Rattus norvegicus: one gene and its partners. The protein of the gene in region 6 interacts with the protein of the main gene of each other region in a pairwise test. Links are inferred from orthologs where the notes say so. Each region holds a gene or a part of one and is shown on either strand. Other genes may lie near its edges.

What was found.
Region 1: the proteins of Nck2 (region 6) and Sf3b4 interact in binary tests that used the Homo sapiens proteins (3 or more experiments, as listed by UniProt). The two-hybrid records come from large-scale screens. The link is inferred for Rattus norvegicus from reciprocal best matches to the Homo sapiens genes NCK2 and SF3B4.
Region 2: the proteins of Nck2 (region 6) and Trim41 interact in binary tests that used the Homo sapiens proteins (3 or more experiments, as listed by UniProt). The two-hybrid records come from large-scale screens. The link is inferred for Rattus norvegicus from reciprocal best matches to the Homo sapiens genes NCK2 and TRIM41.
Region 3: the proteins of Nck2 (region 6) and Vars2 interact in binary tests that used the Homo sapiens proteins (3 or more experiments, as listed by UniProt). The two-hybrid records come from large-scale screens. The link is inferred for Rattus norvegicus from reciprocal best matches to the Homo sapiens genes NCK2 and VARS2.
Region 4: the proteins of Nck2 (region 6) and Pak1 interact in binary tests that used the Homo sapiens proteins (3 or more experiments, as listed by UniProt). The link is inferred for Rattus norvegicus from reciprocal best matches to the Homo sapiens genes NCK2 and PAK1.
Region 5: the proteins of Nck2 (region 6) and Ccdc33 interact in a two-hybrid assay, tested with the Homo sapiens proteins (2 studies listed by BioGRID). The two-hybrid records come from large-scale screens. The link is inferred for Rattus norvegicus from reciprocal best matches to the Homo sapiens genes NCK2 and CCDC33.
Region 7: the proteins of Nck2 (region 6) and Lrriq3 interact in binary tests that used the Homo sapiens proteins (3 or more experiments, as listed by UniProt). The two-hybrid records come from large-scale screens. The link is inferred for Rattus norvegicus from reciprocal best matches to the Homo sapiens genes NCK2 and LRRIQ3.

The regions. Positions count from the first base shown.
Region 1 is NC_086020.1:186,420,207-186,424,466, reverse strand, and holds the start of Sf3b4 (splicing factor 3B subunit 4), read right to left. Parts: upstream 2,801-4,260; 5' UTR 2,564-2,800; coding exon 2,530-2,563; intron 2,153-2,529; coding exon 2,024-2,152; intron 1,580-2,023; coding exon 1,037-1,579; intron 812-1,036; coding exon 605-811; intron 1-604. Other genes in the region: Mtmr11 (myotubularin-related protein 11), read right to left, coding at 3,921-4,067. UniProt on the Homo sapiens protein: Component of the 17S U2 SnRNP complex of the spliceosome, a large ribonucleoprotein complex that removes introns from transcribed pre-mRNAs.
Region 2 is NC_086028.1:33,684,633-33,688,626, reverse strand, and holds the start of Trim41 (E3 ubiquitin-protein ligase TRIM41), read left to right. Parts: upstream 1-1,194; 5' UTR 1,195-1,905; coding exon 1,906-2,712; intron 2,713-3,994.
Region 3 is NC_086038.1:3,080,635-3,084,707, forward strand, and holds the start of Vars2 (valine--tRNA ligase, mitochondrial precursor), read left to right. Parts: upstream 1-1,273; 5' UTR 1,274-1,554; coding exon 1,555-1,755; exon of another isoform or gene 1,756-1,762; intron 1,763-1,889; coding exon 1,890-1,971; intron 1,972-2,060; coding exon 2,061-2,161; intron 2,162-2,583; coding exon 2,584-2,705; intron 2,706-2,806; coding exon 2,807-2,873; intron 2,874-2,968; coding exon 2,969-3,066; intron 3,067-4,016; coding exon 4,017-4,073. Other genes in the region: Gtf2h4 (general transcription factor IIH subunit 4), read left to right, coding at 171-218, 343-421, 851-1,023. UniProt on the Homo sapiens protein: Catalyzes the attachment of valine to tRNA(Val) in a two-step reaction: valine is first activated by ATP to form Val-AMP and then transferred to the acceptor end of tRNA(Val).
Region 4 is NC_086019.1:161,612,950-161,616,449, reverse strand, and holds part of Pak1 (serine/threonine-protein kinase PAK 1), read right to left. Parts: intron 1,686-3,500; coding exon 1,511-1,685; intron 1-1,510. UniProt on the Homo sapiens protein: Protein kinase involved in intracellular signaling pathways downstream of integrins and receptor-type kinases that plays an important role in cytoskeleton dynamics, in cell adhesion, migration, proliferation, apoptosis, mitosis, and in vesicle-mediated transport processes.
Region 5 is NC_086026.1:67,371,986-67,375,485, reverse strand, and holds part of Ccdc33 (coiled-coil domain-containing protein 33), read left to right. Parts: intron 1-473; coding exon 474-607; intron 608-2,254; coding exon 2,255-2,326; intron 2,327-3,500.
Region 6 is NC_086027.1:53,205,480-53,209,778, forward strand, and holds the start of Nck2 (cytoplasmic protein NCK2), read left to right. Parts: upstream 1-1,499; 5' UTR 1,500-1,586; intron 1,587-4,299. UniProt on the Homo sapiens protein: Adapter protein which associates with tyrosine-phosphorylated growth factor receptors or their cellular substrates. Maintains low levels of EIF2S1 phosphorylation by promoting its dephosphorylation by PP1.
Region 7 is NC_086020.1:246,777,506-246,781,782, forward strand, and holds the start of Lrriq3 (leucine-rich repeat and IQ domain-containing protein 3), read left to right. Parts: upstream 1-1,477; 5' UTR 1,478-1,622; intron 1,623-4,277. Other genes in the region: Fpgt (fucose-1-phosphate guanylyltransferase), read right to left, coding at 1,261-1,318.

The DNA of each region.
Region 1 (4,260 bases), on a different chromosome or scaffold from region 6:
AGAGTTGTGGACTGGGCTCCTACAAGTGAGAGCCATTGAAGATGGTGTTGGAAAGAGAAAAGTAAACTGTGGGTTGAGCAGCAGCCTTTTCTAGTCTACCAAGAACCTCAGAACAGAGACCCAGAATAAATCATAACCTTCACATTTAACACTACAGATAAACACAGAAAAGAGAACCAAGCACGAAATCTACACATACATAAAAAAGGAATTGATCCAGGTTGCTAAAGTTGACATTAGAAAATCTAAAAATACATATGCCTTTAATCCCAGCACTTGGGAGGCAGAGGCAGGAGGATCCCTGAGTTTAAGGGTAACCTGGTCTACAGGGGGAGTTCCAGAACAGCAAGGTTTACACAGAGAAACCCTGTCTCGAAAAACCAAAAGCAGAAATGTCTTCTAGATTTGGCAACCTTGGAAGCAGAGGAGAGGTTGAGAGCTTTTGCCAAGCACAAGCTATAGGTGGAGATAACACAGGAGCACACCAACATGTACAAAGTATTGTTTGTTTTCTGAAGAAAAGGACTCTGGACTATTTCCACCCAAGACAAAGAGCACTGGGAGAAGCAGTACAAAGGCCCCTCTACAAGCTCAGCGCACTTACCTGGATGGGGCATCCCACCTGGTGGGAATGGATGAGGATGTGAATGTCCATGACCAGGATGTCCAGCCCCTGGAGTTCCTGCTGCTGGGGGACCATGTCCTCCAGCCCCAGGTGGCATAGGTGGTGGGGGCATTGCTGGGGGTATCCCAGGAGGAAGGGCCCCAGGAGGTGGCACTGGAGGTGGGAACGAACCAGGAGGTGGCATTCCTGTTTAAGAAATGAAGGACAATTAGTGGTATCGGACAGAATGTCTTTCCCAGCATGCTACACTCCAGCTTCCTAAGGACATGCACCAACTTCTTCCCTCCCACCAGCATCCTCACTCCTCCCTCACTGCCCACTGACTTCACAGCTTACTCTTCCAGGGCTTCCTCTGCCCCCTGACCTCCCTCCCATGGGCCTCACTGGCATAGTCTGAACTACAAGCTGTACCTGGTGGAGGAAGCCCAGAACCCAGGGATGAAACCACAGGATTGGGGGCAGAGGGTGGAGGGGGTGCATCGGCAAACAGCTGATGAGGGCGGTCAGCCTGAGACAGCGGGTTCTGGGCTGCCAGAAGTCGTTCAGCTGCTGAGCCATGTCGTTCACCCTTAGAGTCCTTCTTGAAGGCATAAGACACAGTGATAGGGCGGTTACACAGGTACTGCCCATTCATGGCCTCAATTGCTGCATCTGAAGCATCAAATGAAGCAAAATTAATGAAGGCGTAACCCTTGGAGTTGCCTGTGTCAGGGTCCCGCATAATCTTGGGGGTCTGTAAGATGACTCCAAAGGCGCTAAAAGTATCGTAAAGCAACTTCTCATCAATTTCTGGGTCCAGATTTCCAATGAAAATGTTGGCTCCTACATCCAGGTTTTTGTTGTGAGCCGAGGCTTTGTTCACCCGTATTGGCTTCCCATAGAGTTTGATCATGTTCATAATCTTAATGGCATAGTCAGCATCTTCCTCACTCAAGAATTCAACAAAGCCATAGCCTAGGAAACCAATGAAAAAAGACCACTCAGGTGAAGAGATTCAAAATCAAACATTAACTCACCAGTTTGCAAACACAAAGAACAAAGCAGGTAAGGGCTGGGTGGGGGCTCATGCTTCTAATGCCACCATGCTGGAGCAGAGGTGGAGCCCTGAGTTTGAGGCCAGCCTGGTCTACAGAGCATGTTCCAGGACAGCCAAGGACTACACAGAGAACCACTGTCTTGAAAATAAAACAATAAAAAGAACATGACAGAAGAATAATCTTACTTCACTTGAGAATGGTTCCAGTAACTAGTGCTAAGAGAAACTATTCCAAAAACTGAACTGAAGCTTAAGGGGGAAAAGAACCTTTAGGTTGCTCATTCCAAAGTAGTTGTGACTGGAGTTGTGACTCTTCAGGGGCCGTTAACGCTATACAGGGTTAATTCTCGACATGTACTCACCTTGGTGCTGGCCAGTGACTCTATCCTTTGGCATGTGGGTGTTGACCACTGGCCCTGCCTGGAGAAAGAGCTCCCATAGCAGTGGCTCGCTCACTTTCTCGTCTAGACCTCCCACGTACACCGTGGCATCTAAAGGGAAGAAGCAGGAGGTAAGGAGAGGGTCAAGAGTGAAAAGTAAAATAAAAACCAAAAACGTTAACTAAAGACCCGAAATTCCCTCAGCTTCCACAGTCTAGAAAAATCCGCTACGTCTAATTTGGCATTCTTGCTGATCCTGTATTTCCGGAGAATTTTGTCTTCTTGGTAGAGGAGTATTTAAAGAGAATGGATCTAGAAGCATCACTCTTCATAGGCCTGGGCCTCCACTTGGCCTCGAGGCGAGCCAGGCGCCCAGAGGTCGGTCTCACATCAGAGGGATCTCGTCTCCCACCCAAGCAGAAATGCTTCTGGCATTAATCAGCTCTTCACTTCCCTGCCCCTATCTTGGTCTCTTTTCTCCCAATTACCCTGATTCCGTTCGGAGATCGGTCCGGCAGCCATGGCGAAAGGGCTCCCGCCGTCTCTAAGCAGCAGCACCGCCCCCCTGACCTCAGTTTCTACTTCCACTTCCGGGCCAAGGCTCACATTGGGCGGGGCCGGCGACAAGGGAGGAGCCGGAAGCGATCGCGGCCATCTTAGGAGTCAGATTCGTGTCGGACAGAAGGGAAAGGTGCTCTGGAGCTGCCGCAGCAATCGGGGTGGAACAGAAGTGAATCAGCCGGTCTTGATACAGTTAACTAAAGCCCTGAATGCTTCCAGACTGTTAGGGCATCACACTGCACCCCAAGCGCAAATTGAAATGCTAAACCAAGCTTTGTATGTTCTGTGACGCAGAGACGTGTGCTAGGCAAAGTCCCGCCATATCCAGGGCCAGGACTGCCTTTGAAAACAGCCTATTTTTAATTCGGTCCACAACGCTCGTGCAGATTCGCCCTCGGCCTAGGCTTGAGCTCGAGGTATTTTGGTTTCCCGTAAGTGTCAGAGCTCCTCCAATCTTGGGAAATTTGAGACCGAGGGTGCTCACAGGCAGGTATTGAAGCTTTAAGAGGCAGGTGTGGATCTCTGAGCTAAAGGCTAGCCAGGTCTACAGAACGAGATCCAGGACAGCCATGGCCTCACAGAAAAATCTGTCTCGGAAAAAAAAAAAAAAAAATTCCAGGCTAGCCTGATATACAGAGAGACCTTGTCTCAAAAAAGGTGTGTGTGCGTATGTGTGTGTGGGGCGGGGGGGCTTTCCCAATATTTCATGTGCATTCTGCCCAGCCCTGCCAATCCTTTATTTCCTTACAATAATAAGTGTCCTTTTCTCAGTTCACACTACCCCACAACCACCACCGCTTTGCTGAGATCTTCATTCAATACAAGAAAATACCAGCAATGTGTAGAAATACTGTGCTTTAATGAACTCCTTAAATAGAAATGCTGCTACAAAAATATACAGTGGGAGGAGGAGGTGTCTCCCTTATTCACCTCATTCCCACAGAAGACTAAGAAAAGATTTCAATGTAGTGTTGAGGGGTTGAGAATGAGGTCTCTAGGACACCTTGCTGGGGCTGATGAAAAGGGTCTCTGATATCATACTTTTGACAACCATCCAAATGGCACAGAATTGCCTCGAAAAAAGGCAATCATTCTGAATTGGTTTTGTTTCTTATTTTTCAAATCACAAGAAACAAAAATAGCTCCAGGAACCAAACGAGACAGGAGAGCTGGAGGTTGGTAGCACCATCTACAGAAACTGGCCTACTAAGTGAGCTTTACAGACTGGAATACCAAACCCGAAGCACCAAGGTCAGACATAAACATCAGCAGAAACAAACCCCCGCCCTCTGCCCTGCCTTTGAGATGGCTAGCAGTTTCAGCAGATCTGAGAAAGGATAGTATTTGGATCTCTTTTCTTGCTGTGGTCCTCCGGAGATATTCTTGGTGTCCATTTTCTTAATAGTTCCTGAAGATGAGACAGCTCATCTTGAAGGCCAGAGATTGTGAGAGCTGAAGAGCCTATCTGGGGAGAGGCAAAGGAAGGTGCAAAGAGAGATTGTCACAGGTCTAGTTCCTTTTTCTTTTTTCTTTTTCTTTTTTTCTCAGGTTTGTCTGTTTTTATTTTCAAGACTGGGGTTTCTCTGTGTAGCCCTGGCTATCCTAGAACTAACTCTGTAGACCAGGCTGGTCTCAAACTCAGAGACCCAGTTGCTCCT
Region 2 (3,994 bases), on a different chromosome or scaffold from region 6:
TAAAGCTACAATCGGACAGGCTTGCGTCCACTTCCTAAAACCAGATTTGCCCCACTAAGGTTCATGATCTTAGTACGTTCAATTAGAGGTGTTCTGAGGTCACGGTACCCAACTAAATCTGCGCTCAGAGGATATGGTGCATCAATTATTTATGACCCCCAGACTAACAAAAACGAGATTAAAAAAAAAAAAAAGCTGCAAGAGAAATGCTTTGGGGACCACAGGGATAGGATTCTCTCACAAATAAGTTCCACAACACAATTCGGGACGCCTCTTCCCCTTAGACTGAAATTCTCAGGAATACAAATCTCAAAAGCATTTCGGATGAACGACATGAAAGGTGTGCACGGCCCACAGAAAGTATTAAAATTGGAATAACCCCATTACGCTTGGAAGATATTTCTAAAGAGAACACACGGACTTGTTCCAAAGGATATACAAAGAACTACGTAATCGGAAAAGTGTCTTTACTGACTGGCCAGCCTTCCTAGAGAAATTCTACTGTCTTCTTCCCTCCACAGACGAGAATATGGTAGAGTAGCTAACTTCAACACCTCAAAATCCTCACGAAATTCTGTGAGGTAGCAACTATGGTTTACTTTGTATGATTTATTTTATATTACTACATATTTACTTTGTGTAGACATTCAAAGTACCAAATACACTTAACATTACTTGCCCTCCTATATACTCCAGTGTTCAGCAATCTGCACTTTTTACTTAATTTATTCCGAAGATTCCTTTTATATAGCTGAACAGTGTTCCATTTAATATGAACGTGGATATTAATAATAAGTAATGGGAGAAGTGACCAGTTGACAGGGTTTTTGTTTTGTTTTTTGTTTGTTTTGACTGGTTGCTGGTTGTTGTCTGGGACAGGGTCTCACTTTGCAGTTCAGGTTAGATAAACCTGGAACTTGTCACAATTCTCCTGCCTCACCCTCTCAAGTGCTGGGTTTATAGGAGTGCTGTAGTTCGCCGGCAATGTTGCAGTTCCTAAAACGGACACGAAAATGCCCAGCACAGAAGGAGGGCGGAGCCCCTCTAACTCCAGGCTCATCATATGCCGTCAGGCTCCGCCCAAGATCCTATTTGGAGGGACCCCCGGAGTCTCAAACGAACAAGTTTTGGGTCTAGAGGGGCCGGAAACATTGGAGGACGCTGAGCGGACCCGCCCCTCAGCTTCCGGCTCTGGTCCTGGGAGTCCCTTCTGCAGTCGTCCGTGCCTGGTCGGTAGGATGGCGCTAGGCCGCTGCGATTGTAGCACGGAGAACAGGGCGCTGCTCAACGTCCTCGCTACCCTCCGCCGTCTGTCCCCGCTGGCAGGGCATGGGGGCTTCTTCCGCTCTGTACGCGTTCTTCGCGGCCAGTCATCACCGAGATGTGGGCCTCCGCCGTCCTAGCCCTCCCGTCCTGTTCCCGCGTGTCAGCTAGAGCGTCTCCTCCTCGTTTCCTGTCGCTCCGGGGCTGGGCGTGGGAGAAGGGGGCGTAACACACCCTCGAAGGGAACTCGTGAGTTCAGGTCGTGTGGAGACGCCGGAAGCGTTGGGAGGGAGGCCGGAAGCTGGGGGGCGGGGCCAGGAAGTGAGGAGGGGCGGGGGTTTATGAGGAGGCCAGGGGAGCGTTGGGGCAGATTTGCACTCAGGTCCACCTGAGGTACTTGTCGGTGGTACTCACCTCTGTCCCCTCCCTTCTGTGAGACAAGGTTGTCGTCTCGGGGTAGGGGACTGTGTGTGGAGGGGCGGGCTGGTCGGAGGACATTCCTTTGCCTCGCCGCAGGCAAGGTGTGGAGAGGCTGGGCTTGGGGTGGGGACGGGTCTTCTGGGCTTCAGAGACGGGAGACCCCCCCGCCCCACCCCCCCGCTCCCCCCACCGCACTTCTACACTGGCTGACTGGACACTAAGATGGCTGCCGTTGCCATGACACCCAACCCTGTGCAGACCCTTCAGGAGGAGGCGGTGTGCGCCATCTGCCTCGATTACTTCACGGACCCCGTGTCCATCGGCTGCGGGCACAACTTCTGCCGAGTGTGTGTAACCCAGTTGTGGGGCGGGGAGGATGAAGAAGACAGAGATGAGTTGGATCGGGAGGAGGAGGAGGAGGTCGGAGAGGAGGAAGAAGTGGAGGCTGTCGGGGCAGGCGGGGGTTGGGACACCCCTATGCGCGATGAAGATTATGAGGGTGACATGGAGGAGGAGGCCGAGGAGGAAGAGGAAGGTGTGTTCTGGAGTAGTGGTATAGGCGGGTCTAACTGGGACAACATGGACTATGTGTGGGAGGAGGAGGAGGAGGAGGAAGAACTGGACTATTACTTGGGGGATGTGGAGGACCTGAGGGTGGAAGATGAGGATGAGGAGGAGGAAGTCCTGGAGGAAGACGAGGAAGAGGAGCTGGACCCGATCACCCAACTGCCACCACCTCCAGCCCCTCGGAGGTGCTTCACTTGTCCCCAGTGTCGAAAAAGTTTTCCTCGGCGGAGCTTCCGCCCCAACCTGCAGTTGGCCAACATGGTCCAGGTGATTCGGCAGATGCATCCAACCCCTGGTCGAGGGAGTCGTGTGAATGAACAAGGCATCTGTCCCAGACACCAAGAAGCCCTGAAGCTGTTCTGTGAGGTGGATGAAGAAGCCATCTGTGTGGTGTGCCGCGAATCCAGGAGCCACAAACAGCATAGTGTGGTGCCATTGGAGGAGGTAGTGCAGGAGTACAAGGTGAGTAAAAGAGAGGAGGCAGATGTAGTTAGGATGGGAAGGAGGTAAAGAGAATTGGGGACGGGATGTGGGTTCTCCTAACAGGACCTTGTCATTGAAAACTGATTCTCCCTGTCTAAGCACTGACTTCAAGGTGGGTAAATGAGAAGGATCCTCTAATTTCCTTTGTGGCTTAAGGATAGGGGGACTAGTGACAGGGAGTGCTTCACTGCCAGTACTGTTTTCTTCTGGATGAATCTGACATGGGTAAGACTTAAGATTGCAAGAAATGGAGACCTAAAGAACAAGTGAAGGGCCTGAAACAGGAGCATAGAAATAGCCAAGTGTCAGATTAAAAAAAAAACAAAAACCACTTGTCTCTCAATGGTTTCCACACCTCTCCTAGGATATGGCTTTGTTGGCTTTTCTCCGCACCCAGTCTCATGTATTAACCAGAAAAGAGAGAGGCTCTTAGGGCAAAACATCTTGCTCAAGTTTGAGAGTGTCTTTGAACTTTCATTACCACAGGCATATTAGTTAATATTCACAGGACACCTTACATATAGTCAGAACTGTGCTGGCCACTTTTTATAGATTATCATTTATAATTCAAAGACACTGTGAGTTTGATGTTTGCTATTCTCATTTTATTGATTGGGAAACAGGTTTAAGTTCTGAACATGGAGTTTATATGCTGTACAGCCTTAGTGATAGACTTTGATGTGAACGTCCTCCCTTTGGGGCCTACATCCTACTTGGATATTTAGTTTGACTTTCTGACTTGACTGTTCTTGGAGTGTAATTTCATTTGGTTAACTGTCTGGTTATTTCTCTGATCCTTTGGACATATGTGAAGGACATTTATCTATGAGACATCCAACACAGAACTACCTTCAGAATCGAAGCCAGGAACTAGGAGTGTGGAGCCTCTGTCAGGCCAGAGCTTTGTTATTTGTGATTCGATCAGTAACTTTATTTAGGTGGTCATCATTAACAGAGCTTTAGAGTCTGAGGCTTCACAGCTGATCGTCCGCTACTCGAGGAGGTTTGCAAACGTACAGTAGGCCGTACTGCAGAAGTTCAGAGTCAGTGAGAGTATCTATAGAAAACAGCCTAAGGGGGATTTAGCTCAGTGGTAGAGCGCTTACCTAGGAAGCGCAAGGCCCTGGGTTCGGTCCCCAGCAATGAAAAAAAGAGCCAAAAAAAAGAAAGAAAGAAAGAAAGAAAACAGCCTAAGATGGGCATGCAAGCCTCTAATCTGAACACTTGGGAAAGCGGAAGCAGGAATATCAGTTCAAGGTCA
Region 3 (4,073 bases), on a different chromosome or scaffold from region 6:
ACTATGGAGAGAGCAGGAGTACCTAGAGGGGGTCACAGGCGTGACCTGGAAGTAACAGCTAGCAGGCATGGGTCCCGTCAGAGGGCTGTGGCTAGGAGAACACGGACATGCTGTTTCAGGGACATTAGGTGACCTCTCAGATGCCTTTCTACATTCTTGTGTTTTCCTAGATTATCCATTTCCTAAGGACCAGGGCCCATCCAGTGATGCTCAAACAGGTATGGATGGGTACAAAGGCTGGAGGCTGGCAGTCTGGGCACCTAGCAAGGGGAGGATGGATGAGGAACCAGAGACTGCTTTGGGCATTTGCCCTGGTCCTATAGCCTCACCCTTGTCCTGCAGACTCCTGTGCTGCCCCCCACCATAACAGACCAGATTCGGCTGTGGGAGCTGGAAAGGGACAGACTTCGGTTCACTGAAGGTGAGTGGCTCCTGCTGAGCTAATCTCGGTCTATTGGCTAAAGAGGTAAGGCCAGCAATTTCGCCATGGTAAATGAAAAAGGTTTTGTGCATTTCATATTTGTTTCCCCTCTGGGAAGGAGAGGAAACTGATCCTTTATTTTGATATATTGGTAGCAGGAAATATGTCCCCAACAGTGCAGTTTGGATTAAGTTAGGTGGGGGTAAGGGGAGGGGTAATTCAGCCATCTCTCTAGGTGGGTGTGCATGTTTTTTCTTGTGGATTCTGTTGGCTTTTCGAGTGTCTGGATGCCACGGGTGTTAAAAGTTGAATAGTCGACTGTCCGTAGAGAATTAGAACTGTGGCCTGCAGCTCCTGCCTGGATGCTGCTCGGAGGGGCCGAGACCACTGCAGCGCTCCTCACCTCCTGCCTGTCCCATCCGACCCCAGGCGTTCTGTACAACCAGTTCCTATCGCAAGTGGACTTTGAATTGCTGCTGGCCCACGCGCGGGAGCTGGGCGTGCTCGTGTTCGAGAACTCGGCCAAGCGGCTGATGGTGGTGACACCGGCGGGGCACAGCGACGTCAAGCGCTTCTGGAAGCGGCAGAAGCACAGCTCCTGAGCCGGCTGGGTCCGGCCCGGGGCGGGCGAGCGGGCGGGCAGCTTTCCAACTCAGGTGTATTTTGTTTACACATCGGGACATTTCTTGTTTAATAAAATTGTGGAAAAAAGCTATGCGGCTCCTGACGCCTGCCGACGTTTTCCATTCCAGCTCGGTGAAATCCACTTCTACACAGGAGCGAGAGTCTTCTGCGCATGCGTAGCCCCGCCCACGTACGCGCGCACGCCTCGGCGGTGCTCCTATCGCTCGGGAGTTCGCTGCGGCGTTCGCGGTAGATTCGCGTGGCCCAGGTTGAGACCTGGGTGTCCCTAGTTTCCGAACCCCAACCTTCGTGTCCTGGTGAGGGGCAGAGCTCCCGCCTCTTCCGGACGCCCTGGTTTCAATGACTCCAGAGTGCGGTCCCGCCGTGCGCTCCGCCCCTAGGCGGAAGGACGTAGAGTGAGAGGGTCCTGCGGGCCGGAGTGAAGGGTCGTGACCTCCTGCACCCCATGATCTAGTGAGCAGACCTCCACCCCTTCCTAAACACTCCCGATGCCTCATTTACCTCTGGCCTCTTTCCGGCCACCTCTCTGGGGGCTGAGGCCCTCATGGGGTCTCGCCAGGCCCCGGGCACTTTGTACACAACCGGAGCCCCACGGCTCCCCAGTCTCTCGGAGGAACCGTGAAGCCAAACAGAAGCGCCTGCGGGAGAAGCAGGCGGCCCTGGAGGCTGGGCTGGCTGAGAAGAGCAAGGTCAGGGGTCAGTCCTTGGGTCTCCCAAGACTTGGGAAGGGGCTGAAGGAGACTGGTGCTGGGATCCAGATGACTGGTGTATTGGGAATTGCACCTCCTCCACACACACACACACCATTGTTTCCTCCCCGCAGACACCTGCAGTGCCCACTAAGGCCTGGAGTCACAAGGAAGTAGTATTGTATGAAATCCCCACCCGGCCAGGTGAAAAGAAAGGTAAAGTGTAGGGAATGTTTTTGCGACGTTGTTGCTCTTTGGTCTGCTAACACGCGGTTGAGAAGTGGATCTCTCTTCTGCTTCCACAGATGTTTCCGGGCCCCTGCCTCCTGCTTACAGCCCCCAATATGTTGAAGCAGCCTGGTACCAGTGGTGGGTGCGAGAGGGCTTCTTCAAACCAGAGTATCAGGTCAGTGCGCGGCAGAGGGCTTCTCCGAGGTCCCTAAGACAGAGTGGGTGGCCCTTGAACTTGGTGAGCACAGGCTAACTTCACAGCTGACCTTTATTTCTTTTGGCCCCTGGCTTTCTTTTCATTTTCCCCGTATTGAATTTCCCTTTTATTATTGTTGTTTTTGTTGATTTCCCTCTCATTATTATTGTTGTTGTTATTATTATTGACAAGGTTTCTTTCTTGGTGTAGTCCTGGCCGTCCTGGAGCTCTGTAGACTAGGCTGGCCTCAAATTCAGAGATCAACCTTCCTCTGCCTTCCCCAAGAGTGCTACTCCCCCATGCCTTCTTAAAGTTATTTTTGCCCCCAAGACACCAGAGGGTGCTGTTCCCCCAGGCAACATCCAGTTCTCCCTGGCTTCTGACTTCCTAATTCCTTCCAGGCAAGGCTGCCCCAAGCTACAGGGGAGACCTTTTCCATGTGTATCCCACCTCCCAATGTCACGGGCTCCCTGCACATTGGCCATGCGCTCACAGTGGCGATACAGGATGCTTTTGTGCGCTGGTGAGAGGAGACGGGGCTGCTGCCGTTCCCAAAGGGAAGGTTGGAGGGACCTGGGATGAGGATAAGTGAGCTCAGGGGTCCCCGTGGTGTTTCTATGGCAGGCACCGGATGCGTGGGGATCGTGTGCTGTGGATCCCCGGGTCAGATCATGCAGGAATTGCTACACAGGTGGGTCTTGTAGCCCCTCTCCTCTGCTTGGTTGAAAGAGCTGTCTTTATGTGAAGCAGCTGACTAGCTTTCATTTTCTCCCGATCCCACTTCAGGCTGTGGTGGAGAAACAGCTGTGGAGGGAGCGGAGAGTGCGGAGACACGAGCTGAGCCGGGAGGACTTCCTCAGGGCTGTGTGGCAGTGGAAACAGGAGTAAGTTGTCAGGGCCAGTGTGACTGGCTGAGTCTTTGCTTGTCAGCGCTACTGACCGACAGCATTCCATTCTTCCTGCCTCAGAGCAGGGGCTCTGACGGATGGGGTGTCCGAGCCAAGAGTGTGTGTGTTAGAATGTACACATTTGTATACTATGCTCACGTTAAAATATATACATTTATGTGTGTGCTATGCTCACGTTAGAATGCACACACAAACACACTCGTGTGTATATGAATGGATATGTACAAATGTGTGGGTTCTTTTTACCCTCCTTGTCTTGTTTTCTTGGACTTTGTTACCTCTCCTGTGCCCCTGGACCCTCCTACGTTTGTGGTCACGTACTTTTTTCTCTTGTGGCTGCTCCTGCATCCCACACGCCGTGGCATGGGCCTCATACATCCCAGCATAGCTGTGAATTGTAAACTTAGAACACTTTGAGGACTTTTTGGGTTTTCTTTTCTTTACTGCATAATTCTCAAATGTGAACTTTTTCTACATGGCAGTGACATGTTTCTGTTATGCAGTATGTATGTACGTGCACACAACCCATGGGCTACAGCTTAGACACTACTGGCTGTAGCCCAAGATAGTCATCCATTGTGTGTGTTTCAGAACCCTGCAGAGACCTTTCTGTATCTTTTATTTTAAAGATTTATTTATTATTTATAAATACATTGTAGCTGTCTTCAGACACCAGAAGAGGGCATCAGATACCATTACAGGTGGTTGTGAGCCACCATGGGGTGCTGGGATTTGAACTCAGGACCTCTGGAAGAGCAGTCAGTGCTCTAACCACTGAGCCATCTGTAGCCCTTTCTGTATCTTTTAGTCCTGGGTGTGTGGTTCTACCTCCGTGCACACTTCATCTCCTCTGGCGTTGGCGAGCAGCCATGGTTAGAGCCAGGAGCTGCTCTGGTCATATTTACTGATAGGACTCTCTGGTGCAGGAAAGGAGGGGAGATCTACGAGCAGCTGTGCGCCCTGGGCGCCTCTCTGGACTGGGA
Region 4 (3,500 bases), on a different chromosome or scaffold from region 6:
AAGATGAGGCACATTTAAGACAGTCACTACTCTCAAAAGCTCAATCTAAGGAAAAGAGGAGCAAATGGAAGGTGCTGCAAAAATACAGGATTGCTGTGGTCAGTGCTGAAGGGATAGGGAATGGCAAAAGGCACAGACAGAGACTGAACAGCTTCAGAAAGGCGCTGCCTGGACTGATTTTGATTTTAAGTATAAGTTAGCCAGGTTAAGAAAGCCAAGAGAACTCTGTAGCAGGGGGCACTTTAAATAAAAAACGCAGAAGTATGAGAGAGCCCACGGGTCTCACAGTGGGATTCTAGGGCAGGGAACTGAAACCCACAGAGGGAAGATACTTCTCCAAACTCATACATTAACTGGTGCCAAGGCTGGTTCTTAATCTCTCAGCCCAGTAGCTTTTCCACTGATACCCCAACCACTAGGATTTGGTGCTTCTCACATATGGTATTATATCTTTTGATTTAAAACAAATCAAGTGTAAGTATCACTATTTAAAAGATGTGAAGAGGAAAGGAGACTCGAAGGACAGCAGGAAGTTGTCCAGGCCAGACTGCTTTGTATAATGCCTTATATTATTATTTAGGGATCAGGAGTACACATGATTACACAGATGCCGAGGAGTGGCTTTTACCTCATTGTGAGGGCCCTAGCAAGGGCAATTCTTAAGACAATAAACTGAACAAACAAAAGGGTTAAACAAGAATTATTAAAAAGAACAGGAAGCTGCCAAACTAGACCACAAAGCTCTGCTTTAGAAAGCAACGTGAGCATACAAACTTGATCAAACCAGTACATCAAATCCTTTTTCAATGATTTCCCAGGCCACAAAAAAATAAATAAATAAAATAGAAAATAAAAATCAACCTACACGTACTATAATAGGTGATATGTTCTATTTATAACACATCTTGATCTGACCTTTGCAGCTCTATGATCTGGAGCAGGGTATAGAATCTTTGGGTCTTAAAAACCTTAACTGCATAAATGAAGATTATCCTGAGTATCTTCTCAGAGTAACTTCAATACAATTTAAAAAGTCAAGAAACTATCTTGCTTGTCATTTCCACACAGAACAGGCTCATAAAACATTGGTTTCCCCCCTTCCTTCTTTTTCTATAACTATGATGGCAGAATTGTCCTCTCCTAGGTCAATAGCAAGCATCAACAAGAGCACCCTTTCCACCAGGAAGAGTCGATACCTCGATCTTTCTCCATACAATACTCTAGACTACTCACAAAATAACAGCTATTGGTTATGTCCGTAACACTCAACGTGAGCTGCCCACATTCTCTATTGTCTCTATCCTACAATATACACACCCAGAGCTGGTGAACACAGACAGGGTGAAAGTTCAGATGATGAGCAAGCCTTACAGCCTATAGGTCAGGAGTTACAGAGCCAGCCAGGCACATGGCTAAAACCTAGGAGCCAGATCTTTATTGCAGCATTCCATTTCAATGATTAATCAGTCACAGACGGAGTGAAGATTCAAGAAAGCTATAAAGTGCTTACGTAATTTCTCTAAGATCTCCTCATCAGACATTTTAGGCTTCTTCTTCTGCTTTTCAGTATTCCGGGTCAAAGCATCTGGCGGAGTGGTGTTATTCTCAGTAGGAGAAATAGGAGATGTAGCCACATCCCGAGTTGGAGTAACAGGAAGTGGTTCAATCACAGACCGTGTATATACCTGCATAATCAGTGGAAATTTTGGCAAAGCAGCCTTTGTTAGCATAGTGGAACCTCTTCTGAATGTTCTAGTTAGAACATCCCAGGAACCTTCCCCCTTCCCCAGTTACCCTTTCTCTTATATGTCAAAATCTGCATTAGTCCTCTTCTGAGCCACAGCCCATTTGTCCTGGGTAAAACAACCTTCCTTTGCTCTCACTTTACAAGAAGGGTTAGTGATAGCCTTAGCACTGAAATCACTCCAAAATGGCTAGACGATGCTCAGTAAAAATTTGGAGATTTTATCATTAGATGGAAACCTTCCTCACCCAGAGTATCGACTCTGTTTTTTCTGAGATGAATCTTGTGTGTACCTGACACTTTGCAACACTTGACATTGCTTTCTATGGAGTTATTCCCTCTTGAACTGTTGAGCTCTTACCATGAACTAACTACTCTTATTCATCAAGAGGCAGAAGGGTACAATAATTTAAAACAAACTTGGAAACCTGATGGCCCAGGTTTAATTCTCAGCTTCATTACTATCTGAATGACTTCTACCAGTTTACTTCATTTCTCTGTGCTTCAGTTTCCTTGTCTATATAAAACAGTGACACCCACCTTATTTAATAATAAATCAACATGTGAGAATGACATGGCCACGAGCAGCAGATATTAGCATTCAAACCTCAGCTTTTAGAGACATTCTATTTCCTATCCATTTGTTTGTTTAACAAATATTTGCTGAGAATTTATGGTACGTCTAGCTCTGTACAAAACACTGCTTTACTCACGCTGAAAAAGGAAGTGTGAAAGTAATTGTTACAAAAGCAAAGGAGAGATGTTATTAAGAAAGGAGAAACTCTATACTACCAAGGTAAAGAAGAAAGTATTCCCAGGTTACACTCCCTTTTCTAGAAGATGTGTATTTGTCAGATTTTTATCATTAAAAATTCATAATTATTTTTTGATTATTTACAGGGTCTACTGAGACAGCACACATTACTCTTCCCTGAATCCTCTAACTAACTCCAGCCTAATAAAAAGCAGGCATTTGGGTATTTAAACAGAATCAATTAACAAATGGACCTATCAGATGTTTCAACAGGACTGGCTTTCTGACTTCCCTAGCAAAATAATGTCTCAATTTTTATTCCTATTCATGTAGAACAATTATATTCCAGATACTTAAACATTTTTGCTTCTCCACCTATAGTCCCTTGAGGAAAGATGACCTGTCTGTTCCCTCTAAAACATTCTCCTTAACTGGTTCCCAGTGCATGTCTATACACACAAAACTATATGTGGTATGTGCACTATCATGGAATGTAATCTGGACTTGGATTTAATTATCTGCTCTTAAACCCTGACATTTGCTTACTAAGTGATTATGACTAGATCAAATTACTTATCCAAACCTCGTCTGCTTCTATAAATTAGGACTTAGCAATATTTATTTCAGAGATGAATGTTAAGAAAAGCACATTTATCAATATAGTATTCAATATTTACTGCCCTCTCTCTCTGATCTTTCTGCCCAAACTATATTAAGTACCAAAAAGATAAATAACACATAGATAAGTGAGTGATAGATACATTGATAGGTAAGTAGATTTTTCTCTACTTTAGAGAGAAGACTGTGTTAAATAAGTAGGCCTGCAAACCAATGCCATACAGAAACACAAACAGGACACTCAAGGGAGACAGTGACATCTCACTGATTCAGCAGGCTACTTTCCTTAAGGTAACTTTGTGACCTACAGACAAGGAAATCCATATTCTATTTATAAGTTCTTAGGCTAAGAGATAGGCCATCTAAATGGATTTCTTCCACAGC
Region 5 (3,500 bases), on a different chromosome or scaffold from region 6:
ATAAGTCTCTGTCAGTGAGGGGAGAGTATACTGGGAAAACAGCAGAGGAAACAGCTGATCCCAAGTCCAGCCCCATAGTCTAAATTGAGGAACACACTCACCCAGAGGGCAGAGTCAGGGCAATCCAGATAAATACCAATGGGTTCAGAATCTGTTTAGAGTTCATGCTGAGCTGATAAATCTCTGAAGAACCAAAGATGCAGAGTGTGTGTGCATGCAAGTGCGTGTGCATGCCTGCGGACGTGCGTGCATGTGTGCATGTGTGTGTGAGTGTATGTGTGTGTGTGAGTGTATGTGTGTGCGTGAGTGCACGTGTAAGGGAAACAGGAGGCAGGGAAGTAGTCATTTGGAGCCCAGAGAGTTTCCTGTCCATAGCCAAGGATGGGGCCTGGGTAATACCTAAAAACCCATCTGCTGGGGCAGTACGAACAGGTAGTCATTGACAGGACCTCATTTGGCCCTTCCTCACACAGTGAAAAGCAGCGAACCATGGACCCTCAACCAGCCCCTGGGTGTCTCCGTGTTACCACTGAAGTCTCATCTATATCGCAAGATGTTGACAGGAAAAGGCTTGAAAGGGCTGCAAGTGGAGCGACTCCCCATCTTTGTAAGTCCCTACTATTAGTTGGTCCCCCACAGGGCCCCATCCCACCCCTACTCCATGGCCACACCTAAAGAACAGAATATAGCTTTTGGGGGGAAAGTTTTGTCTAGACAGGGGTTCTCTGTGCAGCCCTGGCTGTCCTGGAGCTCACTCTGTAGACCAGGCTGGCCTTGAACTCAGCTATCAGTCTGCTTCTGCCCCCCCCCAAGTGCTAGGATCAGAGGCGTGAGGCACCACCATCTAGGTAAATGTGGCTTCTTAACAGCTTCTATCAGAGCACCCCCCAAGGAAGCCTGCACGTGTGAGGAGCACCAAAGGCTGTGCAGCTGGGGTGACAAGCCAGGCTGAGCCCCCAGAAAAGCAAACCTGGGGCCTCGGAGAATAACAGTAAGAGCTCAGGCTTCCCCAGGCAGGGTCCAAGGCTTTCCCTACCCCACCTTCCTGTAGGACCTGGGACAGTTGACAACCTCCCAAGACCTCATTTTTCACCTCTGTCCACACACCCAGGACACAGGAAGCAGAGGTTTATACTCAGGGCCTGGAGACAGAGGGACTGAGCTCCAATTCTGGCTTCACCGTGAGCCTGCTTTCAAGTGATTATACTTCTCCCTGTGGGAAAAATACTTAGTATTGTGCCTCAGTTTTCTTATCTATGAACACATAGTCACATACACACACTCGAGCACACACACACATACACACATACACATGCACACACACATACATACACATACACACACATACACACATACAAATATACACACATGCACACACACACATGCACACACACATACATACACATACATTCACACATATACATACATACATACACACACACACACACACACACACACACACACAGAGAAGAGTGCTCACACAATTGCTATGGAATTTGGTCAGGAACTACATAAAGCACTTAGAATAAATTCTCACTAATGTCAGACCTGGTGGCACAGGCCTGTAAATTCTGAAGTGAAATTTAAAAATGGAAACTTTGAGGCTTGTCTGGGCTACAGATGGAGTTTGAGACTATCCTGGGGATCTTAAAGAAGTAAGTAATAAATAAATAAGTAAAAATAAAATAAAATCAGACCGAGGCTTGGGGTGCAGCTTCAGTGGAAGAGTACTTGCCTAGTGTGTAAGCTTGCAAAAGGCCAAAGGTTCAATCCCCACTAGAAAAATATGGGGGAAATCATATCATTATTTTATCACCTTTTACATTTATTTTCCCTTATCTTTTTGAGGCCGGTTCTTAGGTATCCAAGGCTGGCCTCAGACTTGCTACGTAGCCAGTGGTAACTGAGCTCCCGGCCCTCTTGCCTCCACTTACCAAGTGCTGGGATTACAGGCATATGCCACCAGCATCGTTGTCTATTTCTGAGCCACCGTTTCCCTAAATACTTCTGACATAACAGCAAGCAGAAACTTCTGCTCCGCCAAAAGATGAGTGTGGAGGTGCCAGTCAGGTTTGAATGGAGTGAGAGCTCGGCATGGAAGTAGGGCAGGAACAGGCAGAAGGCCAGCTCTGGTATCCCACCCACACTCCTTGGCACCTTCCCTCGTCCTGGAGAAGCCAAAACAAGAGGTGGAGCAGAGGCCTGCCTGAAGCTGGCCTGGCCATGTGGACTTAATGCGCCTTCTCCTCCCCAGGACACCAACCTAAAAACCATCAACGGAGAAGCCCCCTCAGTGAATCTAGCCTTCCAGCTGCTTTCCTCGGAGGTAAGCGTGGTAGCCTGGGAAGGTCAGACATGTGTCAGCTCCCATAATCCCCTAAGTGGGTGACAATGTCCTTCACAGGTGCTGATCCTCAGGGCCTGGGGCTAAGGAGAAGAAGGAGTCAGTTGGTTCAGTTGGAAAGCTCTGAAGGGATTTGAGACCCCCGGGAAGTCAGGCAGAATGCTAAGATTAGGAAGAGGAAAGAACAAAAGGCCACAAAGACCCAAGTTTCTCTCTACCCAAACCTAACCTAACCCATACTTGCTTAACTAGGGGTCAAAGTTCCAGGGGAGGTCCCTTCCAGGGGAGATTGGTCCCTTCCTGTTGGATCATTGTTTAGCGAGACCCCTTTCCTAGCCTCTGGAGTACATATTGCTTAGCATGGCTGTAATCAAAATCTCAGTAAACAGGCTAAATTCTTTTCTAGAATATGAGGACTAGTGTATTCCCAAGTTTCTCTAGGGGTGCAGGCAGGAGCCAGCCCCTTGCAGGGCAGGACTGGTGGCCCATATTTCTTGCTGGCTGCTAGCCAAGGTGCCCTCAGCTCCTGGAGACCGCCCACAGCTCCTGGAGACCGCCCACGTGCCTTCTTACCACAGTCCCTGTACTGTGATGCCAGCAGGCACAGCTAGTCCCCAGCACACTTTGAAATTGACTTTCTCTTCTGTCAGAAGACAGAGAAGACTCTGTGCTTTTAAAAAGAACTGGATCATCGCGTCTCAAGGTCTGCAACAGAACCATCAAAGTGATGACTTTCTATTTGGCAATGCTAAAGATTGAGGTGTCGGGACTTGAGGACCCATTTTAGGATCCCGCTTGCCATAACTTAATCCAAGTAGGAACATTGTCAGGGTCATCCATGCCTGGTGAGTGGCCACTGCTTCTCCAGCCAGCTCTACTTAGGCCAACTCCAGCTTTGATGTCGGTCATGGCTCTGGTGTACCTGACAGCTTCCTACTCCTTCCTCTCTGGTACTGGGATGTGGACAGTTTGATCCCGAGCCCAGGAAATGTTCAAGAGCTGATTATGGGCTAACCTACTCTTTCTAGCTTCTCAGGTCAAACAGCTGTGGAATAGTTCAGGGCTTTAGGTCCTTCCCCACGAAGACCATGAGAATTCCACATTGTTGACCCTGAGGACAGTATCTGAGAAGAGATGACAATGTGAAAGCCTCACC
Region 6 (4,299 bases):
GTCTGAGGCTGCCATTCAAAGCAAACGCTTAAAGACCCTGTCCCTGTTGTCCTACTTATTTAGCATAAACTAATTTTAAGTGGGGCTAAACTATTGATTAGAGCTCTGCTTTCATTGTTGCAAAGCTAGATAGTAACAAGATGAGGTCTGCATCAAAGGATGAAGTTAGCGTCTCTGACTGGAAGAGACTGTTGGGTATGCTAATTTTGTATCTGATTCCTCCCAATGCCCTAGTATCGGCTACATGCCAGCTACTTTACATAGAGGGCAGGTAAACATCTCATGTGTTAAAGCTGAGGAAGTTGTGAAAGACTTATGTAAGGTGACACAGTTCAGGTAGCCTACAGTCAAAGGCTGCTATGACGATGGTGCCAAGCTTCCTCAGATTACTTATGCCTGGGAACTTCCTTTAGGGAGGGAGGCAGCTGCCTGGTCACTTAAGGTGTATTGCTGCTGCCTTCCTTAATAAGGAGGAGCCAAGAGATAGGGTAGAATCTCATTAACATAAACGTGAGTTGTCCAACCGGAAAACTGAATTCATTTGAATATCAGTGTTTCCTTTGGGGAATCATGAGTGAAGGAGCTTGGAGAAGGAACATCTGGATTCTGGTGTGTAAGGTATATGTGTTCCTTCCCCTCGCTCTAGGGTTCTAGCTTTCCAAGTTTGCTTACAGGTTAGCTATTACTCAAGGCTGGGAGAGAGAGACTTCCTTCTAAAGCTTTCTCAGCCTCCTGTACTAAAGAATTCCGGGGCTTTAAGAAGCTGGCCAGGGCGCTGCGGAGGCAGCAGAGGTCGGGTTTCCTCTCCTCCCCCCCCCCACTAGGAAGTGGTCCCGCCTGGGGGGCCGGGGGTGGGGTGGAGTAAAAAAGTGTCTGGATGGGAAAGTAAATAAATGCAAGGCAAATAAATAAAGAAAATGCCCACAAGCAATTACTGGGAGGAAGTGACATTTTCACGTAAGTCACTTTTCTGACAGACACCAGGCCTGTTTGGCTGAGAGTGCCGTGGGAATGCTTGGGGGGAGGCGGGGTAGGGAGATCGCTGTAAGAATCCAAGGCACAGCCGGGGTGCGGAGACCACCGGGTCTCGTGTGCTGGAAGTGGCCCTTCATTCTCCCTTGCAGCCCCTCCCGTGTGCCCCCAACTCCAATTTAGAACGGGTTACGGCTTGAAGCCCGCAGGCGGCGCTTTCCCTAGGCCTGGCCGGGACTCCCAGGTGGGTACCCCGCCCCGCGTGCGCCGGGATGGGCCGGCCCCTGGGCGGCGTCACGGCAGCCGGGGAGGAGCGCGGGCGGGGAGCGCGCGGAGGCGGGCGCTGCGCGGGAGGGTCGCCGCCGCAGATCGCAGGCCGGTGCGCGCGGCCGAGCGGGCGGCGGCGGCGGCGACAGTGGTGGTGGGGTGGGCTCGGCGGCGGGCAGGCTCGGGGCTCCCGGGCCGGCAGGGTCCGCCGGGTCCAATTGCGTCCGCTTGGTGGCGGGAGGAGGGAGCGGTGCAGACAAAGAGCGGCATCTGGGCGGGCGCAGCGCGGCCGCCGCCCCGGGACTAGCGCTGCTGCCCTCCGGCCTCGGCGTGCACTGTGCAGCGAGGTAAGGCGATGGCGGGGGCTGCAAACTTGGGCCGGTCGGTAGAGTTGGAAGAGAGGGGTGGGCGGGCCGGGGCCGCCCTGGGAGGGCCAGGGAGCGCGTACCCCTGCGCACCCGGCTAGTGCCCTCGGCCCCGGCGCGGCCTGCCGTCCCCGGGCACCCGCACCTCGGATACACACCTTCCTGCGAGCCCTCGCCTCCCTCAGCCTCGGGCTGGCGTGGGGGTGGGGCGCCCTCCGCGGGCAGACAACGGGGACCAAGGACCGAAAGCCCTCGGGAACACAAGCAACCCTGGCCTGCCGGCGGGCGTGGGACCGAACCTTGGTCGAGTCGCCGGGCGCGCGTGCCTGGGAAGAATAGCCTAGGATCCGAGGGCTACAGCGCTAGGAAGCGGGAGGCTGCGATGGCCGGGGAGAACTTACTGTACTTCGTGATCCGGCACAAAGCTGCTGTCACGTTCTCTAAAGGAGGTCTTTGCCTCGGCTCAGGGCGCTTTTGTGCCTGGTTCCAGTCCCTGCGCCCGGTCCCGCATTTCCAAGACTTAAACCTCTTGAACCAAAGTTTTTCCCAGTTGTTCTGCCCCCTTAGTTTATTCAGGGCGATTTAAGCAAGTGGTTCTGCAAGAATTTGATGTGTGACTTTTAATGTCCCGATGGCACCTCCCTTTTGAGCACTTTTAGCTTGGCATTGTGTGAAGGGGTTTGATTTGGAAAACACTTATTTATACACAACAACGATTCTCCCGGAAGGTGTGCGCGGGTGGTGGCTAATGGATAGCAGACGTGACTTAACAGTAGTATTGTGAACAGCTTGGGAACACAGCTGGGCGCCAAGTGGAATGGGCCCTGTCACCGTAGCCCATTCAGGTCGGCAGCTTCCTCCGTATTTGACTTTCCTTATTTTGCTAACAGGTTTAAGGCCGGTCTTGCCAACTTTGCATCTGTGTGTGTGGTGAACAGGTCCGAGTTTGGGCTGGAGGTGCACAGGCCGCCTCCTTGGTTGACCCAAAAAGAAACAGCCCATTGACCAGTGGGCGTGGCTTGCTGGTACCCTCCCTTGGAGACTTCTCTGCTCCTCACCCACTGAAGGCTTTTCTGCTGGGATTTTGAAGAGGAATGAGAATAATTTTGGGTGTGTTTCAAGCCTGGGTTTTTTGGTATAGTTAGCAACAGTGGTTTTCCAGTCTAAAGGTCACTACTTTATCAGAACATCTGAACTGCGCTGTGGGCACTCCCTCCATTCACTTTCCAAGTTTATAGATACAGACTTAGAAACAGGACTTTCGTGCTTGTGCCTGGTTTATGTAGTGAAGGCAGCCAATGGACACATGGAGAAGGTGCACTTTAGACAGTTAAGGTTTTAGACCTTCGGGTCTTTCCTAAGTGACCACAAGGGACAATCCCGCCTTAAACTTTCTCACCTCCTGGTAGGTTCCTGTAGTTTTGACTGAAGAAAGTAAAGGTCGAAGTGATCTGAAGCTGAATTGAGAACTTTGTGCAGCTGTAAAGTTTTGAGTTACAGCTTACTGCCTGTCTTGCTCTCAGCTTCTGAAATGTGCTTGAACAGAGTCCCGTTTTTCAGGATTGGAAGTTGCTATGAGAGCTCTGGCCACTTGATAGGTGATTTGCCCACTTGTGGAGAAACTGACCTCATAAAAATGGGTAGAGCTTATAAAAGGTGGTTTCCAGCTCCTGGTCGTCTGTTTTCAGTCCTTTTCCAGGCTTTCAGTTTTGCTTTTCCCAGCAGTCCTTGCTTCCGTCTCCATCCTCCTTTTCTCTTTGACCCTGTCATATTCCTGACCTCTGTCATGTACGTTGGGGTACTGAACATTCCCGACAAACAGCAATGCCCAGGTGTTTGAGAAAATGTGCTTTGATCCTTGTTAAATCTCCCCAGCTCTTTCCAATGTTGGAGCAGACTGGACCCCTTGAAAACAGCCATGAGACTCACTGATTGCGTAGCGACCTGGAGGTCTTTATTTGATCACTTGCATTAGCTTAATTTGCCCTGGCAAGACCAGACTTGGTTGCTCTGTAGGGCACATATGCTTCTAAGTGACTGGCTTGCAGTGTGCACTGGGGCTGACATGACTTGTGGAAATGATTTTCTGATGTTCAGAATGAGCCTTAATGACTGAAGAATTCAAGACTGCTTGTCCCACGTGCGGAACAGTGCAGTGAACAGTGTTGGGAGAAGCTCATAAGCTAACTCTTCTTTACAAAAGAACTGGGAAGCTTCCACTAGAGACTTAGGAAATGAGTTTTCCCATCCAGAGGGACTTCAAATGTTGCTTCAGAATTATTTCTCCTTCCTAAAAATGAGTGATGGAAACACTTCTCAGGGTGTTTTCAAAGGGCATAAGTGAAAAAAAAAAAAGACAACATTTGTGCTGTTATGTGTAAGTTAGGTGGCTCAGAGGAGGTCAAAGCAGTCTTTTAAAACAAGCTATCAGAGGTATGCAGCCCTGGTGAAAATAATTCATTTCTTTAGGCCATCAGAATAGTGCAATTTTTAAAAAAGACTTTTTTTATTTTTCAACAATTCACTTTGGACAAATCACAGAGAACGTGATGGTAGAGTCTTTTTAGGGAACCATACCCACATTCCCACCCCTCCTCCCACTTTCTTCTGAAGTAGACTTCCTGAGATTCTCAGTGCTCCAGGCCATGAAAAATACTCTTTAGGTCGACATAGCAGTGCCACACTAGGGTTACGG
Region 7 (4,277 bases), on a different chromosome or scaffold from region 6:
GTCTCTCTATCTTGGCAATGGGAGACCCCAGCATACTTGACTTCTGCAGAATAAAACACTCTTTGCCGAATAAAACACTCTTTGCCTTTGCATACTATTTAAGTCTGGGGTATCATTCTTTGGTGAATCATTCTTCAGTGAATTATGGACCCTTACACTAATTGACAGACTGGCCCTGTACTGTCTGTCTGTCTGTCTGTCTGTCTGTCTATCTATCTATCTATCTATCTATCTATCTTCTCCTCCTCTATCTATCTATCTATCTATCTATCTTCTCCTCCTCCTTCTTCATCACCATCTATCTATCTATCTATCTATCTATCTATCTATCTATCTATCTTCTCCTCCTCCTTCTTCATCACCATCTATTTGTCTGTGTAATCCATATAGGTTCTGAACCTCTTTCTTGCTGACTGGGCCTCCCACGTAGATGAACATACAGGCTTGCAACACCAGCCCTGGCTTTTAATATTTGTATTAACTTATGATAATCAAACTGAACTGATAAACACAATCAAAATACTACACAAAGCCCAGGATTAAACTTCCCAATGAACTCTTTAAATGACAAATTGCACTTAAGGAAGCAGTAGAACGGAACCCTCTTTTCTACCATCAAAAATAGAGATAGGGTTTTAACAAGATGAGAGAGAATGAGAGGGAGGGGAAGGAGAGGCAGGGAGGAAGGAATGGGGAGAGAAAGGGAGGGAGGAGGACGGGGTAAGGAAGGAGGAAAAGAGGGAGAGGGAGGGAAAGAAGGAAGGAGATGGCAAAGAGTCATAGACTGAGACAGATAGGTCAGCTAGGGTTTAATAATTCCAATCATTCTGGTATCCAAATGTAAACCCCTACATTTTAGGAAGTCAGACATAACAATTTTGCCAGACAGCTGTTCAGAGAAGGACAAGTACCTGTCTGTTTTTTCTTTAAAGGCCAAACTTACATTAGCAATTTTAATAAGCCATGATTGCCTTCGTACAGAGCTTACATAGGAATAAACAGGAATCACGCAAAGGCTTGGGAAAGGGGAAGAAACAAGGTAAACTGACTTCTACCACTGAGTTAGGCGGTGTGTTACTTTCCGTTAGTAATTTTCTTCCTGTTCCTTCCTCACATCTACATTTAGGCTCGCAGAAAGCCAGAGGGGTAGAAGGGAAAGCCCGGCTGGACAGGAAGAGGAAGCGAACAGGAAGCGGCGCGGGGTCCTTGCGAAGGAGCCCTCCGTGCAAGGGAGCAGAGAACTCAGTTCCGCCGCGGTACCTCTCAGCTCCGAAAATCTGCGCAGTTTCCGCAGGGTGGCTTCCCGGAGAGTCTCCATGGCCGACTTCCGGGAGCCCACTTAGCACGCATGCGCACTCCGAAACCGCGCACGCGCCCGCCTCCGCTGTGCATGCCACGTCACTGCGGCTCTGGAAGCGCCATGAGACCTGGAAAGCTAGGATGGCGTGAGCGTGCGCAAGCGGCGTTTCCTAGGCAACGCTCTGTGGGGCAGATGGGCGGGCACCTAGCGGTGCCGGGCTGCGCGGGAGCAGTGGGTTCCCGCTTTACCACGTCTGACAGCCCGTCTGCGCCAGAGGAGACCAACCCTCCCACGATAGTGGATCTACCACCCAGATGCTGAGGTGACCTGCCCTCACCAAGCTCCTATTCCTGTCAGAAGCCTCCCAGGGAGACCAGGTCCCTGAACCACAGGCTCCGCCTTGTGGGATGTATCTGGTGGGCCAGACCACCCTGTGCCCTTCAGTTGGCCATCTTCCCAGGCTCAGTTCTGAAGTAGCGCCTTTAGGCAGCAATGGCACACTCAGTTGTATTCACTTGCTTCTAGGAGATTGCCAGAGATTGGGAAGAGCCTCTTATTGAATGAACACACTTTTGGCTGGTTGGCTCGTTATGTCTTTCTCTCATAGAGCTCGTAGTTCATATGGGTACTACAGGTTAATCTCTTTTAACCTTACACACAGGACATAGAGAGTAACAACATTTAAGGAAGACATTTCAGTCTGAAACCCGGAAACCTTACCCCTACAATTTGACTTGAGAAGTTTCTCTTCATTAGAATCTAACTCAGAATTCTGAATAGCAGCTCCCTCTGAACTTAAGTTTCTGAGTAAGCTTAGTTGTACATTTAAAGTCTTGACCTCAGCATTTAATTCCGTATTTAAAGTGAACAAGTTTGTGGGGAGGAGAGTAACAACGATAGAAGTCAGAGTTTGTGATTTATATTCTTGAGTGAACTGGAGTCATCCCAGATTTTGGTGACCTGCATTATGTTTAAAGAGGACACACTGAAGTGTGTCAGTGGGTAGGGCAAGAATATAAGCAGAGAGGTTTATTTGGAGCTTACTACAGTAGCACAACCAGGAGAGATTCAGTGGGAATTTAAAAGATAATAATGGGAGGTGGGAAGAAATTGCTTAGATTCTAGAAACACTTTAAAATGAAGACCAGCAACATCTGTCCACTACATGATGAATCGTGTACACTTCTACACGAGTGTGAATCGTGAGAGAAGTTACCAAAAGATGCCTGAAAGTGGATGACAGGGCCTTTAAATGAGCTGAGGGAAGGTATGCATGGAGAAGCATAGTGAAGTCATAAGAGAAACCCTGTAATAATACTGGATATGTAGAACAAAACATGTGCAAATATAGCATAAATTGTGTGTTTGTGTGCATCATGTATGGTGGTTCTGGAGAGCAAGATGGGTCTGGCTAGAAAAATTTGTGAATTGTCAGAATGGAGATATAATTTATTTTCAGTTACAGTGCTAGGTTGGGATCCAAGGGGAACAATAAAGGTAAAAAAGGCCCACATATCTGAGTACCGCACATTCTTGTGGAAGTGGAAAACAACAATGTGACCAAATTTAAATGTATTGTATAGTATTTCACGCCCACCCTTCCATTCCGTGCTGAAGTGTGCCCTGTCTTGAACTTGTGCAGGCCTCGGGTTCTGTTACAGCTGCTGTGAGTTCATGACTGCAGCTGCCCTGCTGTGTCCAGAAAACAGTTTCCACCACCTCTGGCACCTCCCTTCTCCAAAGATCCCTACCCTGAGCCTTGGGAGGAGAGGGTATAATATATCAGTTTCAGAATTTGAGCATTACATAGTTGTACTCTCTACACATTGACCAGTTGTGAGTCTCTGTGTTGTTAGCTACACGTTGCAAAAAGAAACCCTTCTGATGAGGGCTGAGTGGTGCACTAATCTATGGGTCTAGCAATAGATCGTTGGGAGTTAGCTTAGTGCTATGTCTGTCAGCAAATTAATAGTAGGTTCCCTTCTAGAGCTTTATGATCTGTCTGGCCACAGGTTCTTGCTTCTAACAACAGTGCCAGATATGGGCTCTATGTTATGGAGGGTGACTTAAATCCTTAAATTCAAATCAGAAAGTTGTTGATTACCCCTGTGAAATTCTTTTCACTAGTGCGCCATTAGGTGTCCCTTACCAGGTCAGTCTTTATAGCTTATCCAAGACCTATTTCTACCTGAGGGACTCTAGATCATTCATAGCTGCTGGGAGAGGCTGAGTCAGTTTTCTTTAAGGCCGTGGCATCTCTGATAGGTAAACCATGCTTTGGTAGGTGGCCCCACCCATGAGGATATTGACGGCACAAAATAGACCCAATGACCTTTGACAAAAGAAGAGAGGCAAAGCTGTTTGAATGAGTATGTTGCATTGTCTGGAAAGTCGTTTTAAAGTAAATAAGATGGAATCATTAGCATGATGAATAATTGGAGATAAAAGCTTCATATACAGTGATGTGGCCATATGAAGCTACACGTCTTACATAGTGTTTGTGTACTGATGCAGTGAAGCACGTCACTTAGAGAGATGGACTCCTGATGCCGTATATGGATGGATGCTGATTGTATAAACAATAACAAGTCATGTGGCTCCCCTGGAGAATACATTGTAAAACACATAATTGGTGAAATACCAACATCCAAAATAATACAAGACACTCAAACTCAACAGTAAGCAAACAGCCAGCCAAAATACAGTCAGAAGATTGAAGAATACCTCATTGGAGGACACACTCAGACGGCAAAGCAACAAATAGAAAGATGTTCAATATCAGACATTTGTAGGAATTTCAAATTCAAAATCTGAGGTACCCCTATACAGCTATCAGACTGGCCATAATTTAAGATACCAGTACACCAAAAAACTAGTAAGAATGTGAAAGAATAACGCTTCACCTTGTTGCTGATGGAAACACAAACTAGTGTTTTTAAAGACAAGCAGTTCACGGCGAGATAAAGCATATATATGA